Linked DNA regions of Caenorhabditis elegans. The protein of the gene in region 1 interacts with the protein of each later gene in a biochemical or structural test. Each region holds a gene or a part of one and is shown in the gene's direction. Other genes may lie near its edges.

Region 1 (5,875 bases):
TTCGTTTAAGTTAGGCAAAGAGCCCATCCACTGTCACAAATTCGGTTAGCTTCAGAATTTGCATTTTTCTCGGTCTCAACATCCGTCGGTTTTTTTATTTGGCCCCGTACCTTCCATCTTTTTCTCCGAGTTTGATACTTCTTGTGGGTACTTTTTGTACTCTCACTCGTATCATACTTCTTGATAGGTCTTCTCAACTATCAACTTGTTTACAAGTTTGTAATATTTTTAGAATTTTCTGTTCTGTAAATATGTTTACATGTTGTTGGATTTTGATGTTTTAAGTATAAAGGATTTGATTGCATTGTGGAAACTTTTGGCGTTGCATTTTAAAGTTCGACGTCACAAAAAATAATTTTAAAAAGTAAAATAAGAGAAGTTATAATAATCCTTATTTTTCAGCTATTTTTCAATACAATTTAATACACAAAAATGATTTAACAAGCAATATAGGAAAATCCGACCTAACCGGACTTCCATCATTTTCCTTCCCCTAACTCAAAAGTAATTATGCTTAAAATTTTCAATACTTGGGATATGTTTGCCAGTGGAGTTTGATCTTGTACCTTTTACTTTTTTATCGTAACTTCAAACCGAATTCCGGCAAATATTTTCATTTTCAGCATAAACTTTTGTCGTTTTCTTTAATGATAAGTGCGAAAAATTCCTCTGGCACGAGAGTCAGCTCAATGAGTTTTTTTCCTGAAGTGACTCCGGAAATGGGTGCTCACCTGACATGTGGTCACGGATCAACACATGACTAACTTTGGAAATATCTATCCAAACCTTATCCGCTCTGTAATTAGAGTTGGAGCGCGCTAGGCCGCCTCACACACTTCCGAGCGCTGACCGAAATTTGGTTATATTCTGATGTTATTTTTTGTCGGGGAGAGATGCGTTGCACCCCGCTCTGCGTTTATCTGTCCGTGCTCAACATAAAAAAGGTTCTTTTTTTTGAGTAAAAAAGCAACAAATTCCGCCCATGCTTAGATACTGGGCCCATCATGGCGGCGAACGGAAGGACTAGGAAGCGAGGCTTGTTTTGAGTTTCTTTTAGTGATCGAATAGCGGTTGGAAGTAGATACGGATATTGCACATATATATATATATATATATATATATATATATATATATATATGTGTGTGTTTTGAAGTGAAGAGACAGTGAAATAGTGACAAAAAGCTGTTGAGATATCCATTTAGGTTTTTGAATTTTCTATTTTTCAAAATGCGTAACGTTTATGGTTTTTAATGACGTGATGTCTCTCTGAAATAGCGGGCATTTAAAAACAACTCTTCTTCCAAGTGATAGAAAAAGAAATAATTATCAATTTATTTTTCCAAGTGCCTGGAATTTGTGACATTTTCTTTGTAATCGAATACATGCTCAATTGCCGAAATTGTGTAGCGGCAAAAAAATTAATCAAAAAACGAATGTGAATATGAATTTGGTATAGTGCATATCAATTTTTCCGAAAATTTGTGTACTTTTGAATGTATTAATCTTGTTCAGTTTATGCAAATTATTCCTTCTGAAGTTCATTCAAAACTTTTTGGCTCTCTTTTTTCAATTGTACTCTTAATTTTCCCAGTAAAAAAATCATTAAACTTCCTGTGCTATTTTTATTTTTATATTTTCTGATTTTGCAACTCCTTCAATTTCTGAATAATGATTTCTTTAAGGAAGTTTTATCTGCAAGATCTCCCTAATTGGCAATAATTGGTGTTTATCTTAGATTTTTGAGCAAAAGCTTGCAGTATATTTTTGTTAGTTTTTTTGTTCCAAAAAAACACACTCACCCTATTATTTGAGTGTTTTTGTTTTAAAAAGTGAATGAGCAATGTGTTGCCAAATCTTTGTCCCTTTTGTCATTTTTTTCATAGTCATCTCTCATTTCTAATGACGTTTTCCGGTTTTCCGAATCGGAGCCGTTTTTCATTTGAACGCTTGTTTTCCTCATTTTCAACGTTTCAATATTAATAAATTGTTGTTTTTTTTCAGATGTTCAAATAGAATCAGAAACAATAGAACAGAGGAACAGCAAACAAAATGGAGTTTACCGAATGCAAAACTACATTTATTCATCTGCCCGATAAAAGTTTTTTATACGATGTTTTTGTGTAAGTTTTACTTTTGTGTCTCAAAAATCTTTCAAATAATTGCCCAGTACTGTTGTATTTGACGTATTTTCAAAAAGTACAGTTTATCATCATTAAAAGTTATCCTATTATTTGTAGAAATCATCCCTAAAAATAGCGAATAAAACCAAGTTATTGAAGAAGGTTATCTTATCTTAAATTATTGTGTCCTCAAAAGTGATGACCATAAAAAAGAGAGCCATTAATAAATATTTCAAGAGCAAAAGTGGAAAAAAGTGAAATTAAACGTTTTTTTTTCAGAAGTGTATATAATTTCTACCATCCTATACATGCCTACTTATCAATATTTCTATGCGTGTTGGGTACAATCGCTAATTTCTGTAACATCGTCGTACTAACGAGACGAACAATGCGAACGCCAGTTAATATGATTTTGACAGCAATGGCATCTTGTGATACAGTTGTGTTATTTTCAAATTTAATATACACAACACATTACTCATTTGTCGCTTTCAAGTTTTGTCATCCGAAACATTGGTCCTACTCTTGGGCGTTATTTTTAATTGCTCATGCTCATCTTTCATTAGTTGCACATTCTTCAAGTGTTTGGTTGTCAGGTAAGCTTTTCATTCTGAAGACAACTGTCCAACTCTTCGATTTTATTGCAGTTATGCTTGCACTTGTTCGATATGTAACACTTCGAAGTAGGGGAAATATGGGTGGTATGCAAGTGACGTTAAGGCATTCTTATTATGCCGTTGCTGTTACTGTATCCCTTGTAGCAGTGCTTAATGCACCGAATTTTCTGAATTACAAAATCAATGAACAGCCATTGAATGAAACGTGTACCGATTTGGATCCAATGTTCTGGAATTCGCCCGCGTATCTTCCTGGAATTGCAGACATTGCAAAAGCAAACAGCTGTCTGGTAAGATTTTTGAATTTCAGTAAAAAAAAAACAAGATTTTTGTTAAAAAATAATGTTTGACAAATTGTATACAAACAAAATTTCTCGAAAAACTTTTTTATTGGAACTTAGATTTATAAACTAAAAATTTTGGCAAGATCATCATAATATAACTTTGAAGCTTTGGATTTATATAAACCTTTTTGGAAATAATTGATCGATCATATGTACATATGATATCATGAAAATTATACAAAATAATATTTATCATCGTGATCGTCACCCTAGCAAAAACCAATTTCCTAATTTCCTGCAGGTCTTCCGGTTATCTTATTGGATATCCGGTATGGTATTCAAAGTATTACCATGTGCGCTTCTATCGTTGTTTGTTTGGCTCCTTTTACGAATTCTTCGTGAAGTGCGTGAGAATCGTCAACGTCTTCTCAAGAACTCGCAACATCGACCACCGAATCAAACGACTACTCGAAACGGACAAAGACTGAGCATTTCAGTTGCAGGCAACGAGAAATTAGGCAGAAATGGAAGCTTACGGGGGAGAGGAGAACGTGTCGATCGGACAACTCATATGTTATTGGCAATTGTAGCAGTTATGCTAGTGACTGAATTACCTCAAGGAATTATGGCTGTCTTGTCTGGAATGTGTTCTGAAGAATTCCGAATTTACATTTATAACAATCTGGGAGACATTCTCGATTTGTTCTCACTTTGCGGTTCATGTTGTTCATTCATCATTTACTGCTCAATGAGTGGACAGTTCAGAAATGTAAGTTTTGATATTACTTGAAAAAAATTTCAATGAGCGACATCTTTTCAAAATACCTCAATGAAAAATGTGTTGTATGCTGTTAGAAAATACTACAAACTTTCTCAACATTCGGTGGAACTTTCCAAGCGAATTTGTCTTTTTTTTCTTTGTTTTCTTACTAACATGATGTTCGGCAGCGTCTTAAAATGCGCTTAAGATCTCTACATTTTCCGACAATTGCGGAGTTGTTTTTACAAGAAAAATCATGGAAGTACATACTTTGCTCATTTTATGAATGTGTGTTTAGTTCATTTTAACACAGGGAACAAGCATTTTCATTTGATTTCTATAAATAAAAATTGGTTCATTTTCAATATAGAAAAATCATAAAATTTTTAGGAATTCCACCGTGTCTTTGTACCTGCAAAGGTGAGATGTCTCCGAATGTCATCGCCGTCGATTCGTCGTCCATCCGACGCCTACAGTACCACAAAAATGACTTTTCTAAAACCAAACGAGAAAAACGGAAATGGAATGAATGGAAATGGCACTTATTCGGAAGATACAAGGTCAGCAAGTGTTAAAGTAAGAATATCAACACATGTTTTTTCTACAAAACTTTTGAATAAGCCATGTTAATTTTCAGATGGTCGGAATCCAGGTACGAAGAAACAGTACGGAAATAACGAGAATGACTGGATGTGATTCAATTACTCCATGTTCTCCAATGCCAACATCATTTCCATCATCCCCACTTCCACCGATTCGAAGTGGAGAAGATGAATCCACTGATGAGACATCACATCTACTTAACAGCTCAGGACCCAACTCAACAGCCAGTGCTGATGGAATTCGTGGACACTTTCAAAACATTTGATATCAGAATTTTTTAAACACACAAATTGCAACACGTGTCAGAACAAAACCATTAGTATTTACCATATTCACGGGTTTCTATTTCAATTTTCTGATTACGTTGATTTCTTCTTAAGCGTGTCCTATTAATGAATCTTGTTTTTTATTAGTAACATACTTTTTTTTTAAATCTTTAAACTTTTCAGAATTGAAAAAAAAAATAAAGTAATTGTTCAGAAATTAAAATTCTTTCAATTTGCATATTGAGGTTATTGATTTATGTATATGACAACCTTTTATGAATGAAAATTGCAGAATTGGGAATATTGTATCCTCGGAGAACTTCAAACTAGCTCCCATAGTAGGTAGACATAGATTGATTTTCATAAGCATTTTTCTGGTTTAAATGAATTTTTTATCATGCCATCACAAAAATATTGATGGCAAACATGACAGTCGTATGTCACCGTGTAATTAAAACACTTACTTAAAAAGGATAATCTTCCAACTTGTAAAAATGTTTCGGCATAGCAATCTTTTATTTGTCAATGGAAAGTAATAGCTAGAGATCAATTAACCGACAAAGTTACCGGGTGCCGAAATGAAAGAGAAAAAAACAGAAAAGCTGACTATAATGAAAGCATCAAGTGGGGGAGAAAAGTAGAAGAAAACGCACAACCCGTTTCGGAATGTTCTTTTTCGGTTTCTGGCTACACAAATTGAAAAAAATAAACTAGTAGCTACTTGGAAACAACAGCTCTTTCTGGTGTTGAGATCGTGACGTGGCGTTTTAGTTGAGTTCCCAAGTTTCGAATTGGTGACATTGAACAATCTCTGGATGGAACATTTGAAGCAAATTCTCCGGGTGCATTTGAATTTCCCGCTGGACGATAAAAGCAGACAACAGCTACACAATTATTTGCTGTGTTCCAATACCGTGCAGCGCCAAGTTCTGTTGTATCTTTCCAAACAACTTGTGAAAATCGTTGACATTCTGAAATTAGAGACACTTATGAAATTGACTCGGACCAAGAGTAAGCTAAGATTTTAGTTCTTGTCTAAATATTATTTTTTAGTTGATTATGTTTTGAATGGGAAGTTGGCAGCCTTTGGGACAGCAAGAATTATGCGAATTTTTGAATAATATTTTGTTTATTTGTTAGCCTTATTTTGTTTATTTGTTAGCCAGTTCTGCTGATACAAAATGAAAATTTCAAATTTTGCCCAACTCAACCTATTCGAAATTAA
Region 2 (4,487 bases), on another chromosome or scaffold:
AATCGCAATTTATTTTGAAAGAATCATTAAAAATGCGTTACACAAACAGTTCTAGTAAAAACACAATCCCATTACGGTACTAATCAAAAATAATTTTCTAATAAAAATCGGATTCTGCTCATATTACTCTTCAAATATTTGATTTTACAAACTTAATATAATGGCAAGAGAGCAATTGTATTTTTTTTCCACAAGATCGCAATCTAGATATTTGTTATAACAAAACTACATGAAAGAATTATAGTGGTCACACGATTGAAAAAAAATTTTTGGGTCTAGTTAATTTCTCAGAATCGAGTTTAACTTCATGGGAACGGAGGTTTTAAATTTCCCAAAGATTACTTCCACAACAACTCGGCTAATTTCGGAACTATTTTTTTGATTCGCGTATGTTTGCTTGGTTAATTCCATCAATGACGTGTATTTTCATAAACTCGAAATAATTGTTACCTTGTATGCTTTAAACTATGTTATGTATTTTTTGAATTTGCTCCATACATTATTTCAAGTGAAAATTGTTTATAAAAGTTGGCTCTAGTCAAAACGTGGTTTTGGAAAAAAAACACATTCACTGTAATCAAATTGTACTGAAATCAAGAAATTTGTTTTTTCTCAAATTTTGTGTTTTTCAAATGCTTTTGCGTCATCAAATTTGATTATCAAATCCCGAAGTCAGAACTTTAGAACCTAAAACTAAAATCGGAATTGAAACTGATGTCATCGTGGGAAAAAAACGGAAACCACATGTTATCACTTATTTATCCCTGATCGTTTGCTGTTAACTGATAGAATAAATGAAAGATGTTTCAACTTAAAATATAATAATATTCCACGTAAGCACTGGATATATTTTATATGTAACTCATCAACAAACAGTGTGATGTACAAATTATTATCATCATAAAAACAGATAAAGTCGAGGTAAATGTAAACGTTTTTAAATACAGACCAACAATTCCTCCGAAAAACTGTTCTTATTTAACTCAACCTTGTTCATAAATAACTTGGATGTGCATCTTGATTTATGACACTTATACAGTGTATTGTCTATTTTCATTGTTTTAGTTTGATAGATCGGAAAACAAGAGCTGAGATTGATTATTTGAAACGAGATTTATGATTCATTAGTCATGTATAACAAGTTCTGACAGAAGATTATGACTACAATGGTAGTAGAGTTTTCCCAGCCGAGTTCTCTATGATTGAGTACAATTTAACTTTCTCTTCTGATGAAAATGCTTTCAATGACGTCAATAGAAAAATCATAGCGTCGCCATAGAAGTGATTTTTTGGCTCCATGGTAGCCCGCCTCAGGAAGTGAGAATTTAAAATTTGAAATTCTAATCGTTTTCGAAAATGCTATTCTGGAAAAGAAACACATGTATGGTGTGTTTTAACTTTTTAGAATAAAAAATTTCTGTGGCACAACACAGAATTTAGCATTAAAATTCATGAAGCTCTCTGCGAGATATGGGTTGAAAACAGCAACAAATTAAAATTTAAATGAAATCTGTTTAATTTTTTGCTCCTTTCCTGCAAGCGCAAGCGTTGATGAGACTTCCGCTCACAAATGAAGTTTTATTTTTACAGCGTCTCTATTGATATCTAAGCGGATTATTTAAATTAAAAATAGTGTTACACTGTTTTTAATTTTCGCTTTCAGAAGTATTAACAATTTTCAAGTTTTATTAACTACACCTTATCAAACCGTTTTGTAACAACTACTTCATTTCTTTGAATTCCCTGCGGTAACATAGACTGAACACAAAATAATATAGAATTATCATGGTACCTGTTCAGTGACTAACTGAGAAAAATGCCAAAAATCACCAAATCCGTTATTAAGCGTCTAGACCGTATGTAGAATTGCTAAGAACAAGAACATTGTACCGCATGAAATAATGGAAAGTAATTTATAACATCTCCAAAATTCAATTTTTTGAAATTGGCCAGCAAAATTGGAACAACTATCATAACAAGTTTTCTCAAACGTTCTTTATTTTTAACTAAGTCGAGAACTGAAACAAACGCATTAAACTTCAATTTTTCTTTTCTTGTTCTTTTATATCCGGAAAACCACATTTCAGATCTCAAATCTAAACTAAGAGAAACTAAAAAAAAGTCTACCTTGAATTATAAAGTAGGTTTGAGAAAGCAACCCACACCTCAACTTTCGTGCTTCCGGATATCTTCAAATATCATCACTTTCTTATTTTCCGGGCTCGAAATACTGGAAAAACTTCTAGGCTGCACATCTTAAAAAGTAGCGGTGACATTCCTCCCATTCCCATCCTTCTCACTTTTGGTTCATTAGCACTATATTCCATAGTGCTCCACCCACATTTCACCGGTTTGTCGCGTCGTCTCTCATTCTTACTATAGAAAACTCTTGAATTCCTTGTAGATATCGCTTCTTAGTCTTTGACAAGCCACGTCCACAAAACCCGCGAGTGCTCTCAACGTGCCTCAAGGAGGACACGCCCACCACTGCTTCATTCATTGCACCGACATGTCCTTCCAGCTAACGCTGTTTTCCATGCTTTTCCTGTTAATTGCCGTAGTCGTCGGTGAGTTTATTTTTTATTAACAATTATCTTTGTCTTGTTCAATTTCAATTTTGTTTTCATTTATTAATATCACAAATCTAAGCCTATATCTCTCAACAGAACATTGTAAACGTGTTAGAGTCTAGACTGTTCTAGCAGAAGAATAGTCAATGAATAGGTATTTCAGGGCAACCAATTCAGTCACAAAATGGTGATTTGAAAATGCAAGCCGTTCAGGACAACTCACCGTTGAATATGGAGGCGTTCAACGACGATTCGGCATTGTACGACTATCTTGAGGTGAGCCATGGGCCAGAGCGGAACAAAAACCCAACTAATTTTGTGTGTTTGTTCATCTCGTTATGGGATTAGGTATCACCGTAGTCTCATCCTTGATGCAAAAAATAATGAGTTTTTTTTCTGATCCACTTCACGTCTATGCATCATTTTTTCTAGAATTCCTTTGAGGTACATAAATAAGCATTTGGGGACGGAAAGAAAACTCGGAGAATGTGAAATATGATTGCATTTAGTCCTTTTCATGTTTCAAAAATAGAATTTTGAATTCAAAAAGTAGAAAGGAATACAAGTTCAATTCAATTTCTTGCAGCAGTCGGACCCTTCTCTCAAGAGCATGGAAAAGAGATGGGCGAATCAAGTGAGGTTCGGTAAGAGGGCATCTTGGGCCAGCTCAGTCAGGTTCGGATAACCGGCTTTGCACAATTTTGACGGTCAGACATGGTTCAATACACCTCAAACAAATTGCGCACATCAAATCAGACTTCAGACGACAATCAGCACACCTTCCTTCTTTCTGTCCATCCTGTCCTTTTATATACGTTTTACCTTCTCCGTCTATACAAATTCTGTCACTTTTGGATTAACTCGCTTTTATTCTCATTACTCAATTCGATTCCATTATTCTTTGTATTGTCAAAAATTTAGCAATAAAGTTTGCGACTTGTTAAACATCGATGAAAGCATTTTATTTCATAATATGATGCATATTAACAATTATGCAGGACTAGAGTGAACATGAAAAGAAAAACAGAAAAAGTGAGAAAGGTTCACATAACAGTCAAAAATTAATGATAAAAGGAAAGAAGACGGTACACCGTTTAGTTGCACTCAGTGTGCAATGAAAAATAATGACAGGAAAAAAAAAAATTGAAGAAGACGAATAATCTCATCAGAAATGGTAGATGGAAGACAAACTACACGTTTTATTCAGTAGTACCTACTTGATGTTTCAGCTGCAGATTCAAAATAAAAAAGGAATCGGAAAAGATATTATGGTGTTTTGGAAGAAACAAACATGATAAAATAGAAAAAAGAATCAGCGATCCACCAGCCTCATGATTTGGTCGAAACAGTCCTGGAACGCCATTTTAAGTTTGTCATCAACTGGCTTCGCTCGAGGGTTGTGGGAAAATTTAATTTGTCGATTGTAGATTTCAAGTTGAGAAAGAAGTTCTCTGAAATTGAAATGTGAAACATTCAAAGTTGGCAAAGAAGTTTCCATAATAGTTTGTGAATTCGTTTTTAGTGTTTTTCAAATCATCAGTTTCAATGCTACAATTTTAGGTCAGAATAAAAAGTGAAAAAAAAGATCAAAACATATTCTCTTTTATATGCGTTCTAAATAATTTGAATTCAAAAAACATTAATGGTTTACCAGATAGTGAAAATTTTGCTGATCAGCCTTTTTTCCCGTAACTTACTTGAACCGAAATTTACTATGCGGTGAGATTTGTTCTGCATAGACGGAACACGTGGAATGAAGTTTTTGTACATTATCAGCCATTCTGAAACATTCTCGATTTTTGTATCCAAAAATCGTGGCTCGAATTATTTCTTACATTACAAATTGTTGTAGTTTTTCATCAGTGATCTCTGAGCTCGCCAAATTGAAAAGATTCACAAATTCCTTTTGGATTACTT
Region 3 (4,351 bases), on another chromosome or scaffold:
CTGCCAACTATTTTGCTGTGGAGTACGGTTTTCAGACTATAAGACTGCTTTGGAGCATTTACAAGGAACTGGATCTGTTGAAACAGAAGCTTGGGATCAGCAGAAACATTTTTTGAAGGTTGGGAAATTTTTATTTAGAAAAAATAAATCAAGGAAAAAATTTTTGCTCCAAATTTCAGCCAGTTTACATCTGCAACTGTTGCAATCGTACTTGGTCGTCACGTAACGAGTACGTGGCACATTTACACGGCCGGGATCATATGTGCCCGGATCCGGTGTGCAAGTACATTTTTGAAACTAATGAGAAGTGTATCCGACACTTTTTTGAGCAGCATTATGTGAGTTTTCATTGGGAATTTGTATTTTAAAATTTGGAAAAGCTGGGAATCTGAAAAATTTAAAGCTTTTTAGCCTGAAAATTTTCTGAAGAAACTTGTTAGGAAATAAGTTTTCGTGAGACCCAAAATTTTCTCAGAATTCTTGTTTGAAAAGTTTCAAACTTCCATAACTCATCTAATTTGTAAGCTTTTTTCTAGTTTTTTTTTGACTCAAAATACTCCAAAAAATTCAATTTATTTTATTTTTAAAAATCAAGTTTTCAGAAACACCTATTCCTAGACTCCAGGCACCTACTTCTCAACTACAAGTACTTTTTGCGCTACCAGGAGAAGCAGGAGGAACGAGCATATGTTGGGCTCTTTTTTCAGAGTTTTTCCTTTATTTTTGTTAAATTTCAGGGCTTATATGTGTGTACCACATGTCAACGCCGATTTCGGGACAACAAGGGGTTTCAGAGCCACGTGGCAAGCCAGAATTGTGAATTTTTTGATAGAAAGGTTGGTTTTTTTCCAATTTTTTCCAATTTTTTTCCTTCAGTTTTTTGTACAAGTGATTGCTTGCAAATGTGGTCACCAATTCAAGTATTGCTATTACCAACGTGACGTGCTTTTACGAAACCTGCCAGTTTTACGTGAAGCCATGGAGCATGTGGAGCGAGAGGCTCCGTTCAATAATATGCCCGAAGATGTGGTGGGTATTTGGGTAGAAAATGGTCTAAAAATTATTAAAATTTTATTAAAGTACCATTTTTGGTTAAAAAAATAAAAAGGGTTCTAGTCCCCACTGAAGCAATTTTTTTGTTTTTTTTTCCTAAATATTCAAAATTTCAGTGCAATATCTACCGATCCATAATTGTGGTGATCATTGATGTGAATCAACGTCTTATCAACGAGAAATTCACAAATTATCAGCGAACAAGCCCACTGAAACATTCCTCGTTTACGCCACGACAGATGGCCAAGCTCTTATTGGAAGTAGTGGACTACTTTTGGAAGATTATGTAGGAAGTTGATAAACTTGCTTGTTTTAATGATATTTATACCTTTTCAACTACATAAAGACCATAACTATACACTTTTAGGGCTTGAACCATATTCAATCCAGTTATCCTAATTTTACTCCGGCCAAGTAAAAGTTCACATTTTAAATTTTCCAGAAAAACTGCCAAAAACCCAACTTGCGTGACAAGCTTCTGCTTAACTTTTTGCACAAAAAACCTATAAGGAACTTTCAGATCGCGTGACACTTGAATCCGGCGGTGTGGCCGGAACATCTAGTTAAATTACCTGAAACTTGCATTAAACTTCTAGGCTCCTGATCGCGTGACAATCAGAGCCGGTCATGTTACCAGAACCGAGTCACTGCACGATATGCCCCATTAATACTAGATCGACGTTACGAATGGCTGGAGGGGTACATAGAACTAAGATTCTTAGCAAAATTACCTGTATATTATAAGAAGACCCGGCGGAACTACAAAAATGTGATCATCAGATTTAATCAGATTTAGTTGTGTGTACTCTCAAACATGCGAAATTAGTTGAAAAGTCCGCCGCATCTGAACTCCCGCCATTCTCGTAGACCACATTTCTATGGACCACACTGGCGTGTTTAGTGTGTCTGCTAAATCAAGCTGGATTGACTCTGAAGTTCCGAGTTCGATCAGACTGGCATGCTCTTTTGCACAAAAATCCATTGCCAAAAGTCTCAATTTTAAGATTTTCAGATCGCGTGACACTCCGATCCGGTAAAGCAACCGGGACTTGGATCTAGCCGAAAGAAGGTCTGGAAGTGCCTGTTCCACCAAAATTAAAGTTACATATTCCGAGAAAAAATCAAATTACACTGGAAAACTTAATGGGTTTCCCATATTGCGTGACACAACGATTGAATGATATCATCTAGGTGTGATACCGGCCGATCCACGTGATTAAGGAATAATGGGTTCTTAGTAAAGTGAACAGATCGCGTGACAGTTTGATCCGGTCCGGTCACCGGAATAGGAATCGAAAATCTGGCCTACACAAATATTGAAATGATATCACTTGGCCATGGTACCGGAACCAAACCAATGTCACAACTGAAATAGACTCCATACGACCTTCCAGAATTACCAAACAGGAACTTCGTCATCATGGCATTGTCATCATCATCCTCCTCCATTATTTGTAGCATTATACTTGCTTCCACCCGAAAACAACTGCCCATCAAAGAGCTCATGAACAATTACCTTCTCTCTCTCTCTTGACTTGTCACCCGTCTTGATTGAGATTTGTTACATTCTTGGAGAAGACGGAGAGGGACCACGCCTTCTAATTGTTTCCTGCGTGTTTGGTTTTGGAGCACATATAGGTAAGCTGAATAGTATAAAAGCTGTGCAGCCAGCAGAAAGTCAATCGAGTTCCGAGCTTTTTGGGGGTTTCGTTGAGCTTTTTAGAGTTCCGAGCCTAGATTAAGTTTCGTTGGGCTTTTTCACTGTTTCACCCAAAAAAAAAATAAAAACTTCCAGGGTCCCCCTACCATGCGTTTTCTTATTCTCATCGTCGCAATTGTGTTGCTGTCAGCCGTGCATGGCTTCTCGGTAGAGCCACGTCTTGCCGCGTTTGCCGATGGTGGAGCCGCAGAGCTGGCACAGGAAGCTCGTCAAGCTCGCAACGCCGAGCTGGAATTTATCAAGTGAGTTGGGAACTAGATCTTGGAGATTTCGATGTATAAATATGACTTGCTGAATGAGTCGCGTTGCCCTAACTATAATGTTTTTTTAAACTTATTTGGCTTAGGCGTAAGCTTAGGCTTAGGCTTATGCTTAGGCTTAGGCTTATGCTTAGGCTTAGGTTTTGGCTTAGGCTTAGATTTAGGCTCAGGCTTAGACCAAGATTTAGGCTTAGGCTTAGGCTCAGGCCCAGGCTTAGACCTAGGATCAAGGGTGTCAATGTCCCGTAAAAATTACAAAAACGGGACATCGGGACGTCCCGTTCCCGTGAAAACACCCAAAAAACGGGACAACGGGGCAAACGGAACACGGGACTTGACACCCTTGCCTAGGATTAGGCTCAGGCTTAGGCTTAGGCTCAGGCTTGGGCCTAAGCTTAGGTTCAGGCTTAGGCCTAGGCTTAGGCTTAGGCTCCTGATCTCTTCACTATCTCTTCGCTCTAGTGAGTAGGCTCCTTTTCAACAGTCCTCGTTCCCTCTCTCAAAGCCTAATTTTCAGACGATTCCTCCCAGCCAAGGAACGTCGTGCCCCGCTGGAAGGCTTCGAGGACATGTCAGGATTCCTGCGCACCATTGACGGAATCCAAAAGCCACGTTTTGGTTAAACCTGATGCTCAGCTCAATCTGAAATTTGAAATTCTCACAATTTGTTCTCTCTCTCTTTCTCTCTCTTCCTCTGTGTCTGTCGTTTTCTCTGTTCCCTTCTTTCCTTCTCTGTCCTCTTCCCTTGACATCGGTGCGGCCCCGACACTCTTCGTATGCAAAATTAAAGCCAAAAATAAACGATGAGCATTGACAAATATGTTTTATTGATATGGGTGAGAAAAATAAATAGTTGATAAATTAATCAGAACGATTGGATTCCGAGTTCACAGCCATCTCCATAGTAAACTCTGTCGGAGCATGATCCTCTTCGGCTCCACCGCCGGGTCGACTGGAATTTCAGCATTTTCTTTTTGCACAACAATTTCCAGAATCAAAGAAAGAACAAAACCACGTGTAAACAAGAAAGGTATAATAAAGTGTATCGGAAGTGCGTATTGACATGTCACCGGGCATCAAAATACAATTGTCGGGGAGACCAGAATAGCTATTGTTTGCGGGAGGAAATTGATGTCGGATGGGGAAGGGGAGATCTAGGTCAAGTTTCGGCTGGAGCCCTGCCAAGTTTTGACCAAAGGGGCTCAGGCTCAGGTACTCTAAGGCGTTTTGACAACATTTTTTTTATTGAAACCTTGAATTTTGGAACGATTTCAAGCCTTTCTAGGCATATTTGAATTAGAATGTAGTACAGTTTCAC
Region 4 (4,367 bases), on another chromosome or scaffold:
CGAGATATAACCTGCTAAAGTAGAAAAATGGAGGTACAAGTTGTATAGGAAAATTACGGTTATGGAAATATAACTAGAAATTTTTATTCTCATTTAAAATTCAAAGAGCTTACATATAAACAAAGTAACATGAAAAAGCAAAGAACATGGCAAAACAATCATGAGAATGAGGTTTTAATGCTTGCAAGGAGAACCCGTAAATATACATTCTACCCTATATATTTTCCCATAGTTACATTCTCACAAATAGCGGGTTTCCCAACAAGATACCGAATTTTTCTAATTAGTAGTAGTGCATGCAATAGTATATTTCAATTGATATTTTTGACCCTAATAACAGATTTTTTTGTCGGTTTTCTAATTTAAAAATCGTAATAATAAAACATATTCCCCCCCCCCCCCCCCAATATATAAGAACTATCGTTCCAAAATGAACTACTCCCATAAGCTGTTCTCATGGTGGTTTTTTTTAATCAAGAAGATTAACGCAAAAATATAGTCTTCTTCCAAATGATTGTCAAAACATTTAAGGCTCGATCAAACGTCTTATACCAATAAATATTCATATAAAATTATTCCTAAATGAATAAACCCCTATGATTTTGGTAAAACCGCAAATTGAAAATTCTCATTACTTTTTGAACCTACCCAGAACTTGGAAAAATCACTGAGATGATTCATGTTTTTGTTTGCTTTTATCAAATATGTATAGAAATCCTCTAACCTTGGTTATGTGCTCTTGAGAGAATCTAGGATTTTTTTGCCTGCAAGCTTCTGGTTTTTGGAACACAAATGATATTCTTTTTTGCGAAAAGTTCACTGTTTGTCAGGCGTTCTTCACTTACTTAATTTATTTTTTCAAATAATTTCATAATTTAATAAATGTTGGAATGGAATGCGAGTATTTCTCAATTTTGTTGTGCTTTTTTGTTCCTGATCATAAAATTCTACGGAAATAAAATTGGAACGGTTGTTGTTTTCTTCCAATTTTTGAGCGCTTGAAAGAACACAAACTATAAGTCCGAGGCGCATCACAGAGTTCAAGTTTTTAAAAAGATTTTGCATTTCAGTTTTAGACCAATTTTGCTGGTTTCCAAAATTGAATAATTAGACTTATCCAATCTGTAGTAAAATTGCATTTACGGAAAATATTACAATGCAAGGCCGTAAGTATATTTTAAAAATTGAGTACGCCTGTGGGACTTTTTCAAACATTTAGTAATTATTTATTTTTTTGACTTGCTCACAGTAACTCATGGAGGCCAAAACCGGTTGAAAAAATTTATCCATCGTAAGGATGTTCGACAAATTTCAGCAGTTTAGATCAGCAAACAAGAATGTTTGAATGAAAGTTTGTTGGACGTGCCAAGCAATGCTTAGACCTAGGTAACTTTCGTGACCATTTTTGAAGATCACCTATTTTATTTTATTCACTATAATTTCCTTTTCACATACTACTTCGAAATTCAAAGCATTATTTTTCGTGTGGACTCTGAACCGATCGAGAACATTACAGAAGCTTATAACACTTAAGTGCTCTTAAAATAATGTTGTTTACCTTGCAGAAAATTCATCGAATACCTCCCAACAAGTATACACCTGAAATGTGCTCCACAATTGTCTTGTTGCACACAAAGTTCCCCCGTTTCCAACTATCGGCAATTCGTTGTTCCTACCTCGTCATTTTGTCTTTAAATTATCGGAACAATGGAACAAAAGAATAAGTGAGAAGTGAAAAAGAGAAAGATTCGTCTTTTTTTTGCGCTGACACTGTTGAAAATGTATGAGTGGGGTGTGAGTTGGCGGCGTCGACGAACATTGCCAAGACAAAGAAACGTTGGTCTGTGTGGTTCTTTGGTAAAACATTAACTTTTTGGTTAGTAGATAGGGTTAGGTACTCAACCACACACCAAGAATGAGGAGTTTCTCCTTTGTTCACGTTCAGATTTTTGATCGGCTTCGGCTTCTTCGTCCCGCGCCGCAATTAGTAATATTCTGTTCTCGACAGCTTATCCCATCTAAAACCCGGAAAAAGTCGGGCTCATCCTCCGAGCCGGAGACTCCGACATCACTTTTTGGAAAGAAATTACGTGTTCAAATTCAGGTTTTCGAAATGTAATGCGATTGCTGCTTCATTTGTTATTCGATTATATCGTTCCGTTCTCTGGCTCAATTATGGAAGTGTCATTTTGGTAAGTAACCCTCCCAGTACTAAACACACACTGTCATCCCTACGAAAGCACGACAAAAACAGTGCGGATGACACATGTGCCAGTGGCAGCTAAAGTGGGAGGGGTCTTCGGGTTGGGCAATGGGAATCTGAAAGCAGCTCGCCGAGTGAGTGCCACGCCCCACGAAGCCTTCATTCTTACGACATGCTCTCCTTTGTGCAAACCCTTATCCTCGCTCTCCTCTGCTCCATCGTCTTCGTGGAAGCCATGCCAAGGTGAGTGGAAGTGATAGGCATTAAGCAAGGAAACTTTTTTTTCGAAATAAATTATTATAAATAGGATTGCTAGCGTGGGCACGATGTCGTTTTAATTATGATTCTTTTTGCATCAAGCAAAATCCGCGTCATGGCTATTTAGCATAACCGAACACCTATGTACCACTATATTTCCCAAGCTTTCTTAGCTACAGCAAAGTTTGAAAAATTTCAAAATTTTGAATTTTCCAGTAGTCACTTAACTACCCAGGGAGTTCAATGCCGATTTGCAAAAGACAAAAGCGTTGAGAAGTTTGAATGATTACTGACATTACAACTCACAACTTTTAGCTTTTGTGTTTCTTTGAATACTTGTTTGATATAATGTTTTGTTAAGAAATCTTGAAAGAAAAAAAAAATTAAAAATCTATGTGAAGATAAAACCGGCAATAAATCAAGGTCTCTGGCATCTATAGTTTATGAGCAACGTGCGTACTTGAGGAGAGCAAAACTAGAATCAAATCAACCTGATTGACTCGAAAAAGGAATATATTTATAGCCTATAAACAAGAACGTGTAGATTTAATAGTAGTAGTCATTTATAAAATGGTCTCTGGAGAACTTAAAGAAAAAATAAATACGTCCCCAGTGGGGGGGTACAAAGAGTTTCTTTTTCAGCATGAGACCGGCGAAAAAGGCGATGCGCAACTCGTTGGTGCGGTTTGGGAAACGAGCCGATCCAGTTGGCACCGACGATGTTTTTCTAGGTAAGTTTTGAGCATTTATCAACACTACTGCTCGCCGATCAAGTCAGCGACGTCAAAAAATTTAAAATTCAATTTCACTTATTGAGTAAACATTTTATTTCAGGAGAGTCATACGGATCTGCTGACCCGTATGAATATGTTCCGGAGCGCATGTCAAACCGGGGGCCATCATCAGTCCTGCTCTACTGAAAGCCAATGCTTTAGGGAGGGAATATTTTCGTCTAGTGATCAACTCCAAAAAGCTAACCACACCAACCGTCGTCCTCAATCGTCTTCTCTCATTTTCAAGCATTTGTGTGTGTGTTTTTTTTTTCAATTTCTTCATTCAAGATATTGTTAATAAAAGTATTCATGTGAAGTTGTATCTAATTAATGTTTGTCAAAACTTTTATAGTTCTAATTAATAAAAAAAGTCAAAATTTTCCAAGCGGCCGACAATTTCCGAGTTTAACCACTCATTAGAAAATTCTATGATTAGGTATAGTGAGTAACCAAACTCGGAAATTGTCGGCCGCCGTTAAAAACCTACCCCTCGGAAAATTTTCAAAGTTCTAAAATCCGGACGAGCGGACGCCCAATATTCCAGCCCTATTTTTGAACAAAAGCCTGGTCGGACTCGAACTAAAGATACACCACTACCACCTGAACCCTCATTTTTGGAAACAATTGTTCGTCAATGTTTTCGGATTTATTTCAAGTTGATTTTATCTATCTTCTTCAAGTTTCAGAAAATACTCTGAATTTGCTAGTTTCCAGTTATTTAGTCTAGTTAACGTTGTCATTTCAATTTTTATTTTGTTTTGTCGTTTACTCTGATTTCTTTGGAATAGTTTTTCCTGTTTTTTTTTTCTATTAACCTACACACATTTTTTTGTGATATTCCCTATTGTGCTCCTTTCTGCCAATTTTTAGTTATTTGGTTGTAAAATGTAAAATCATACATCAATTTAATATGAAAATGACGTCACTATGTTCATAGTTAGTTCCGACTTATGGCACTACGTAAAAGACAAAACATCGAATTTGAATGCTCAAGTTTGTAAGTAATTTGATTGGAAACATTTATTTACTAATCAGTGGAAAAGTTAACAGACATCCCAGACTCCAAATATTGTCCACTCTCAAAATTAGTTTGTCGAATGTAGATTCCAAATGTCATCTGAAACTTTTTCTGT

What was found.
Region 2: the proteins of dmsr-1 (region 1) and flp-19 interact in a test that uses a peptide from one of them, tested with the Caenorhabditis elegans proteins (one large-scale study listed by BioGRID).
Region 3: the proteins of dmsr-1 (region 1) and flp-33 interact in a test that uses a peptide from one of them, tested with the Caenorhabditis elegans proteins (one large-scale study listed by BioGRID).
Region 4: the proteins of dmsr-1 (region 1) and flp-32 interact in a test that uses a peptide from one of them, tested with the Caenorhabditis elegans proteins (one large-scale study listed by BioGRID).

What each region holds. Positions count from the first base shown.
Region 1 is NC_003283.11:11,436,769-11,442,643, forward strand, and holds dmsr-1 (G-protein coupled receptor dmsr-1), read left to right. Parts: upstream 1-2,001; 5' UTR 2,002-2,049; coding exon 2,050-2,120; intron 2,121-2,399; coding exon 2,400-2,716; intron 2,717-2,767; coding exon 2,768-3,027; intron 3,028-3,322; coding exon 3,323-3,790; intron 3,791-4,171; coding exon 4,172-4,357; intron 4,358-4,418; coding exon 4,419-4,649; 3' UTR 4,650-4,796; downstream 4,797-5,875. Other genes in the region: F57B7.2 (SCP domain-containing protein), read right to left, coding at 5,368-5,621. UniProt on the Caenorhabditis elegans protein: G-protein coupled receptor.
Region 2 is NC_003284.9:10,602,317-10,606,803, forward strand, and holds flp-19 (WANQVRF-amide), read left to right. Parts: upstream 1-2,369; 5' UTR 2,370-2,509; coding exon 2,510-2,567; intron 2,568-2,733; coding exon 2,734-2,846; intron 2,847-3,156; coding exon 3,157-3,255; 3' UTR 3,256-3,515; downstream 3,516-4,487. Other genes in the region: Tyrosine-protein kinase abl-1, read right to left, coding at 3,883-4,021, 4,268-4,351, 4,406-4,487. UniProt on the Caenorhabditis elegans protein: FMRFamides and FMRFamide-like peptides are neuropeptides. WANQVRF-amide inhibits the activity of dissected pharyngeal myogenic muscle system.
Region 3 is NC_003279.8:12,623,734-12,628,084, reverse strand, and holds flp-33 (FMRF-Like Peptide), read left to right. Parts: upstream 1-2,846; 5' UTR 2,847-2,860; coding exon 2,861-3,015; intron 3,016-3,550; coding exon 3,551-3,656; 3' UTR 3,657-3,851; downstream 3,852-4,351. Other genes in the region: T07D10.3 (C2H2-type domain-containing protein), read left to right, coding at 1-118, 180-338, 603-689, 738-836, 877-1,029, 1,170-1,343; ntr-1 (G-protein coupled receptors family 1 profile domain-containing protein), read right to left, coding at 3,895-3,985.
Region 4 is NC_003284.9:15,431,423-15,435,789, forward strand, and holds flp-32 (FMRF-Like Peptide), read left to right. Parts: upstream 1-2,364; 5' UTR 2,365-2,375; coding exon 2,376-2,446; intron 2,447-2,602; exon of another isoform or gene 2,603-2,799; intron 2,800-3,103; coding exon 3,104-3,192; intron 3,193-3,295; coding exon 3,296-3,381; 3' UTR 3,382-3,550; downstream 3,551-4,367. Other genes in the region: mocs-1 (Molybdenum cofactor sulfurase), read right to left, coding at 4,262-4,351.